2 linked regions of the Ovis aries genome follow. The protein of the gene in region 2 purifies or fractionates together with the protein of the main gene of each other region. This does not show direct contact. Links are inferred from orthologs where the notes say so. Each region holds a gene or a part of one and is shown on either strand. Other genes may lie near its edges.

Region 1 (4,158 bases), on a different chromosome or scaffold from region 2:
CAGGAAGTTCACAGTTCATGTATTGCTGAAGCCTGGCTTGGAGAATTTTGAGCATTACTTTGCTAACATGTGAGATGAGTGCAATTGTGCGGTAGTTTGAGCGTTCTGTGACATTGCCTTACACGGTTTAACTTGTCTAATTTTCCCCATAGCCCTATGAAGTAGATGCCATTACAGTTTTTATGCTGTAAAATCTACAGCACAGAGAGGTTAAGTTGTTGGCCCAAGGTCACAGAGCTTGTAAGTAGCAGGGCTGGGATTCAAACCTGGGATGAATCTGACTCCACTGTCTGTGCTCTTAACCATATCAAAAAAAGAGGAAACAGTCTCATCTAGAGAATAGAATATGAAAAAAAGATTAGAACAAACTGGGCTGTGCGAGGAAGTTGTGTTGATTAAAAAAAAAAAAAAAAAGTGGGATGGGAAAGCAAGACAAAAGGCCCAGAAGATCATAGAGAGAAGAATGTTCAGGGCTAGAAAGCAAGATAATAAAATAGGCCAAGGTTTGGTTGGCCACCCCACCCTCAGTCCATGCCCAACCCCCAGCCCAACCCTACAGGCAGAACTCTCACAATTCGTCTCCTGGTGTGGTCCCAAACAAAACCAGAGTATTTACATGATCTCAAAGTATCGCTTATTAATTATGGAGGGAAAAATAGGAGCTTTACAGCCAGCAACCTGGCTGACTCCAGCTAAACCAAGTGTCCGATGTGAACATACAGAGGGGTCTTAGGGAAGGTTCTGGAAGGGAATTTTGGGGATAGTGTATGAGAAGGGTTTTATGAGGAAGGTGATACATGAGAGAGACGGGCAAGTCTTGAAGTTCAAGGGTCTATGGGTGACCGGTCACGGTCCATTGAGGGGAAGACGGCGTGTCTCTGGGAAGGAAGGGGAAATCTTATGACGGAGCGGTTCTGAGAGCTAAGAGCAAGTCATTAGGAAGGGACTTGTTGGGAACAGTTTGGGTGACAAAAAGATCACAACAGGGTCCATCCGGGAGGTTGGGGTGGGTAAACTCTGGATGACTAGAGGGCAGAGCGTTTGGGGCAGGGGTCTCTAGGGGAGTCCTAAAACGGTATACGAGGCACAAGGCTCCAGGGCCACAGCCTGCAGCTGGGGACGACCCTGTGGTGAGCGCGGCGGGCCAGACCCAGGAGAGAGAGATTGGAAGTCGGCCTTGAGGGGCGGGGCCGGGGCGGGGCGGGGCCGCCGGGAGGGTCCCCCCGCGCTGCAGGGGGCGCTGTGAGCCTGGGCGGACCCGGGCCGGGCGGCGGCCGCTCCTAGTGAGTGCGGCCCCTTTTCCGGGTTTCCTCCTCCTCCTCCTCCTCCTTCTTCGCCGCCGCCGCCGCCGTCGCTGACCCTTTCCCGGCCGGCGGCTGCCGCTGCTGGTGCCGCCGACAGCGCCGCCGCCTCGGAGCCGCGAGCCGAGCGGAGGCCGCCGCGGAGCGCGAGCGCTGCCCGCCCCGCCGCCCCGCCGGCCGCTCCAGGGCCGGGCCGGCTCGGCCGGCGCCCCCCGCGCCCCCCAGCCCGCCCGCCCCCGCGGGCCCGGCCTGGCGCGGCCGCCCGCCGCCGCGCTCCTCCTCCTCCTCCTCCGGCGGCCCGCTGCCCGCCGCCTCCTTTGCCCGTCGCCCCGCGCCCCTCGCCGCGCCGCCACCCTCGGCGCCCCGCGGCGCCCCCCGGTCCCGCCCGCCATGCCCGGCCCGGCCGCGGGCAGCAGGGCCCGGGTCTACGCGGAGGTGAACAGCCTGAGGAGCCGCGAATACTGGGACTATGAAGCTCACGTCCCGAGCTGGGGGTAAAGCCGCCGCAGCCCCCCTCCGGGCCCTCGCACCCCCACCCCCGCCGCAAACCGCACTCGCCCCCCGTGGTCTGTCTCCCCGCTGGGCCCGCGCCTCTTCGGCTCTGGGGTGGGAAGCAGACCCTCCCCACCATATTCTCGTCTCCCTCTCCCCGCTTCTCGTTCCTTCCTCTCAGCGGTGCGCACCCCTCTCACCTCGGGGAATGCTCTCTTACTGACAAGTGTAGGGATCCAGGGACCAGAGCCTGGTGGAAGTGAAGGAGCAGCCCTTCCTTCTCACGCGTTGGGGTTTCTGTTGGGGTGGGAAGTCAGCAGCTGTCCTCTTGAGCTATTAAAATTCTCTGCCTTTTTGAGGTTTTTGAAATGAGGCTGGGTGGGAGGAAATTTTTTAAAGACGTCCAGATTCTCAAATCGAGCGCTGTCTACCTTGCGGGAGTGAAGTAATAAGGCAGGTGCTGTGGGCAGAGGGGCACCTGTGAGCCTCCAGGATGGATGCTCAGCTCATCTCGCTAGATTGGCTCAGACGCCTGCCTTCCCACCTTGTCTCCCCCTAGTTATGAGGGACCAGTTAGGTTAGGAGCTACGTCCAGTGAAAAGAGCCAAGTTTATGTTGTGGCTTTCGTGTAGGGAATAAGTTATGGCATGAGGTATATAGACACTTCCAAGTGCTTGATCAGTGGAAGCGCCTGGATGAGGATGTGTAGTGGGCATAGCCTTGGTTAACCCCAAGTCCTGGCATTTATGTGTCCTCCTTGTCTTTCCCAGTAATCAAGATGATTACCAGCTGGTTCGGAAACTTGGTCGAGGAAAGTATAGTGAAGTATTTGAGGCTATTAACATCACCAACAACGAGAGAGTGGTGGTAAAAATTCTCAAGGTGAGTGTCTTATGAGTGGCATTAAAATTTCTTTTTCACAGGTCAGAAGGATACAAACTACTCCAACCACATTCTAGAATGAGCAGGACAAACTCATTTTAAAAACCTTCTGCCCCATGTCCCTCTGCTACTCTTCCCACAGCTGTTTTTGTTTGAACTTTTTTTTCACACAGACCTTTTTCAAATCTAAGCATGGTAGTTCAGGAACATCCTTGTTCTAAAATGTAATTATGGGCTCCCAAAGTGAATATTCCAAAGAGCCTCCATTTGTTACAAACTAAATAGGTATTCACATGCAAGAAGAGCCTCTTCATGAAGAGCCCAGTTGATACAAAGGCTCCTTGAGCACTGAATTTGTTATTCCAGAAAGAAAGATGGAAACAGAGTAGCTTCAAAGAGGAGTTTGAAGACTGAGTGGAAGGAAACACCCCAGTGAATAATTGCTTGTTTTTTCTCCTTTGGTGCTAAATGGTTCAGATGGGGTACATACAGTGAGCTAACAGGGCCAGGGAGGTTCATAGTTGCTTATCAGCCAGTAAAAGTGAAGTTGGGAGCAGTAGAGAGTACGCTTAGAATCACTAAAATAATGATTAGAACAAACCAGCCTGAATCTGGTTTAGCAGCCTAAGTTTGTAGCAGATACACACTTTGTCATCTCTTGGATGGAGACATGATCTTACTAAGTATGAAGAGTTGGCTAAATTCTCTTCCAGGTAACTGGTTATATAGCTTTGATAATGTTTTACAGGGTGGACTAAAAAACAGTTCTTAGAATCTGTGAAGGGTATTCATCATTGCCAGATTATTTCATTTGTGTGCATGTCATTTAGTGAAATCTTGAGGTGACCAAAGAGTTAATTAATATAAGCACTTTTACACAAACAGGAGTTCCAGTATAGCCGTTTTGGAGAGGTTCTGTGGATAAGAATATAGGATTGAAAGGCTGTTTTTGTCATCTTAAGTAGAGTTAGGGCAGCTGTGTTCCTGTTTAAAAAGAGGGGTCAGGCTTGGACTGTCTGAAAATCGCTTTTCAGAAAAATGAGTGACTCTACTGATACTCCGTACCAGTCTAGCCTAGTGATGAAGAGACAGGATTATGATTGAGAGAAATAGCCAAGTTACTAATTTATGCTGTCAGAAACGCTGGGGGTAAGAAGTAAGGAACTGATATTGAAAATGTGGAGTTTTTGACTCTCCTCTTCCCTGAATATGAGTTGCACCCACAGAATCATGTCATCTTTTTTGTTATTGTATTTCTTCACAAGCATAAATATTTAAAAAGATGCTTTCTTCAGAGAAGTCACCTGGGAAAGCCATACAGCTTTTTTCTTAGTATATTAGCATAAATGTTTTTACTATAAGCTGGTTAAAATCTCTCTAGGAAGTAAGCAAGACATAAATTGAAATTAAGAATATCTACATTCCATTGCTGTGCATTTGGAAGGACGAACTGCTGACACTAAAGCAATTTCAGAAAAATGTC
Region 2 (4,208 bases):
GCTAAGGGTCTAGATTCAATCCCTGGTCAGGGAACTAAAATCCCCACAAGCTGCTGTGATGTGGCCAAAAACAAATAAAAGCTCCTCTGAAGATCCTTAGGTGCAGCCAGAGTTCAGAAATACTGGTGTAAGGTTGATTTAATGCTTTTTTTAAAATGAGGATTTTGAATATGTTTTGCTTTTGTGATGTCACTGACAAATATTTTAATGTATTCAAACTCTCTTTGCTCTATTTAGAGAAGTTTCAATTCGCTTTCTACAATTAATCCAAGTAAGCCTTAAAACTGAGCTATATAATAGGCGATGGGGCGTCTTATCTCCAGACCATGTCTCCTAGGGTCAAGCGTGGGATAAAAAATGGAGTAAACCCGGACATACTCCTTTCCCTCCAGCTCTAGCTTCTAGTAGTTTGGATCAGCATCCCTGTTTTTACTTCAAACTTCAGGAAATTTGGAGAACTACTAATATCACAGAGAGAATACATATATAAAGGGGACAGATTTCTCCCATATTACTAATTGCAATAACCAGGCAGGAATACATAGACTCCCTTCTGGGCATAATCATATTACCTCTGTGAGGGCTCGCCCTAAAACTATTTTTGGAAACTAGGGATTTTCCAGATTAGCGAAAGCTGTGGCGCTGTCAACTGGCTCAGGCCTATGTTTCATAATCTAAGCCGCTAAAGCAGTCGCCCTCGCAGTCAATACGAAGCCTTCGCCCTACTTCCGTACCTCTGGGAATCACAGGCTCTCGGGGAACTTTCTTTTCTCCCTTGGAACTGAAGTAGTTCACATTCCTGTTTTCTAAAAATACTGTAAAGCAACCGTCTCCAGATTCCTTGCGGGTCACTTTAAATTACAAGTTCGTCCGTACACGACACTGGAGTAACCACTTACACCCGCCAATGCGGGCGAAGGTCGATCCGACGCCTCCCTTTGTACTCGCTGAACCTGCGCCACCCAAATGCGGAAAGTTAGGAGAGGAAGAGAGACGGGAGCACACAGACGCACGTTCTAGAGAAATTATCAAAACTGTGCAGGGGTTACAGTAAATTTGCGGACTCGAAGTTGGCGATACGGTATCTCGTAAAGCTCCCTTATTACTCTTTTGATTAAAAATATTACATACGAGGCGAGGCGGTTTGAGGTTGTTTTAGTAAGTAGACCACGTCCCCAGCCACTCTGGGGAACCAACAGGGAGGTCACCCAGGTCACCCGACGGTCCCACCCAGGGGCCTCTGCTCCGCGGCCGGCGAGGGCGTAGGCTCAGCGGGCGGAGACAACGCCTAAAGGGACTAGTTGGCACGCCGACCGGGCGTGGTGACGTCAGGGCGGAAGCGCACGCTGCGTGAAGCGGCCAGAACCCGGCGGTCACGGGAATATCCGTCGCGCCGAGAACGCTGGTTAGTCTCACTTCGGGTTCCGGCTGCGTTGGGCGTGCGTGCAGCTCGCTGAGACTATGGCGTCCGGGCCTCACCCGACCGCTACCACTGCCACCGCCGTCTCGTCTGCTGCCCCTAGCGCGGGCGGCTCAAGCTCCGGCACGACGACCACGACGACGACCACGACGGGAGGGATCCTGATCGGCGACCGTCTCTACTCGGAAGTTTCGCTCACCATCGATCACTCGCTGATTCCGGAGGAGCGGCTCTCGCCCACCCCTTCCATGCAGGACGGGCTCGACCTGCCCAGCGAGACAGACTTGCGCATCCTGGGCTGCGAGCTCATCCAGGCCGCCGGCATTCTCCTCCGGCTTCCGCAGGTCAGTGATCCGGCCCCGGGCCGACAGGCGCGCCTCCCCTCCCCGCCTTCCCCTCCGATGCCTTCCGGTACTACCAGGACCCGGCCGCGTGGGAGGTCACCCCCTGGGGTTCTCCAGCCGCGGGTCGCAGCCAGAGCGCGGGAGGGCGCTTGCGATGGGAGGACGGCCCAGGAGCTGTTCGCGGTGGGGAGGGGGAGGGGAGTGAGCGGAGGCACAAAATGGCGGCGGCGCCTGGTGCGGGCCCGCCTGACCCCTGCGCTTCCGTTCTCTTCTCTTGTCTGCAGGTGGCGATGGCAACGGGTCAGGTGTTGTTTCATCGTTTTTTCTACTCCAAGTCTTTCGTCAAACACAGTTTCGAGGTAAGCAGGGCGGGGGCGGGTGACGGGGGATTTCTCCATCCGGAAATGGGAAGGAAGGAGGGGGTAGTGTCAGTGGCCAGCCTTTGCAGAAAGGGAGTGGTTAGTTTTAGGCCTTTGTACCTAGCTCTCACCCATAGGGGAGTAGGGACTCTTGGAGAGAGTTTGAGAATCAGAAGATGGAGCCTGAGTCCAGGTGCCTTATTATCAAGAATTTGCATTTTCAATCAAATGGAGAGCACCTATGAGTTTGAGTTTGGCTCCGGATTGAAAATTAAGGGGAATAAGGACTTCCCTGGTGGCTCAGACCGTAAAGCCTACAATGTCGTAGGCCCGGGTTCCATCCCTGGGTCGGGAAGATCCTCTGGAGAAGGAAATGGCAGCCCCTACGCCCGTACTCTTGCCTGGAAAATCCCGTGGACAGAGGTGCCTGGTAGGCTACAGTCCATGGGGTCGCAAAGAGTCAACAGGACTGAGCGACTAAACTTTGTTTTAGGCAATAAAAGAAACGTCACACTAGCATAAATTTATGTCCTAGAAATGTCAACTGTATTTTTATTTCACCAAATGTCCCAGTTGTGTCTGAAAGTTTTTTCATTAGAATAAGTTCTGTAGACTTTGAGAGGGGCACTTCTTTCTAACTTTACTCCTGCAGTGCCATAATCTAACAGCTCTTATTGGCTCTTTTTTTTTTCCAGATTGTTGCCATGGCATGTATTAATCTTGCATCAAAAATTGAAGAAGCACCTAGAAGAATAAGAGATGTGATTAATGTATTTCACCACCTCCGCCAGTTAAGAGGAAAAAGGTAAGATTGGCATTATTGAATGCAGCATCTCTTGCTACTACTGAACTGTGCACCAATCATGTCAAAACATTCTTTCCTCTCAAAACTGATGCAAGGGAAAACTGACTTTAATTTAGGTGTTAAAATTCACATAGGAACACACTGATAATTTGAAAAACCACAGTTAACCAGTTATTTGAAGTTTGTAGAGGCAGTTGTGTTTATGGACAATCCTAACAGTGCTGTGAAGCCAGTCCTGTGGTTTTAAGATTAAACAAGAAAGGGAGTATGTTTGTCTCAAGTGTGAGTGTGTTCTGTAAGTTATTTTTCCCCTCCCTTCTCTGTAAGACTGAAGGCTGGAAGTTTAAACGCTGCAGTTCAAGTTAATATTGTGGTGAAGTTTTGTGTAGACTGTCTTACCACTGGAAGTTCCAGTTAATTCTTGACCAATTGAGGTTGGCTTTTGTTAGAATACTTCTCAACATTGAACTACGATATCCCCCATAATACCGGATCTGAAAGGACTGCAGGATGATAAAGTTTGGAGTCAAAGGGATTAAACAGGTATTTTGTTTTGGTCAGATAACAGTCTCAGTGAGTGGGCTGCATTTAGATAGGGGCTATTTATCTGATCTAGTAAGAAAATAGAAACCAAAATAGTGTTGTTTTATAGGTGGAAGCCTGCTAACATTTTATGTGTTCTAGTGAGGCAGTACCAAAAAGTTTTAGTTACAGTGCGGCTTGTGCCTACAGATGACTTCTTGTGTCTACAGATGACTTATAATAATAGATGCTTCTAGTACATAGTGTAGATTAGTTCTTCTGTTCACTTTTTGAGGAAGTTGTTGTGATATTAGATAAACTTGTACTGAGTTTGAAAGGAAGTCAGTTATAAAAAGATTTTAGTCATTTTGGGGTTGGGCATTGGTTAGTACAAAATTAAAAGCTTCCTTGAGTGGTCCTTGTTAGTTGAATCTGTAAATTGTTGGTAATGAAACTATTTAGAGACAAGCGAATAGTAAGTAAGTAGCCTTGGAATGATCAGTCTACTTAGATTGAAATATTGTTACCCAGATAGTTTTCACAGTGGTTTTCGGTTTTCTTATATTCTTTATTCTGTTCTTTTTTCATTCACCTTATTCAGGGATAGACTAACTTTGTAATTGTATTTAAAAATGTCTTTTAGCTTCTTAGTGAGGAATCCCTGAAACTTGGGAAGTTTTCAAATTGATAATTTAGTATGGTCTGAGCTAAAATTTATATTTAGATCTAGTAGACTGTTAAGGGTGTTTAAACAGTGA

The links.
Region 1: the proteins of CCNL1 (region 2) and CSNK2A2 purify together in Homo sapiens (affinity purification with mass spectrometry; 4 studies listed by BioGRID and IntAct, with this or other methods). This does not show direct contact. The link is inferred for Ovis aries from reciprocal best matches to the Homo sapiens genes CCNL1 and CSNK2A2.

What each region holds. Positions count from the first base shown.
Region 1 is NC_056067.1:25,635,747-25,639,904, reverse strand, and holds the start of CSNK2A2 (casein kinase II subunit alpha'), read left to right. Parts: upstream 1-1,358; 5' UTR 1,359-1,691; coding exon 1,692-1,795; intron 1,796-2,563; coding exon 2,564-2,675; intron 2,676-4,158.
Region 2 is NC_056054.1:231,166,467-231,170,674, forward strand, and holds the start of CCNL1 (cyclin-L1), read left to right. Parts: upstream 1-1,408; 5' UTR 1,409-1,461; coding exon 1,462-1,764; intron 1,765-2,048; coding exon 2,049-2,123; intron 2,124-2,818; coding exon 2,819-2,928; intron 2,929-4,208. UniProt on the Homo sapiens protein: Involved in pre-mRNA splicing. Functions in association with cyclin-dependent kinases (CDKs). Inhibited by the CDK-specific inhibitor CDKN1A/p21. May play a role in the regulation of RNA polymerase II (pol II).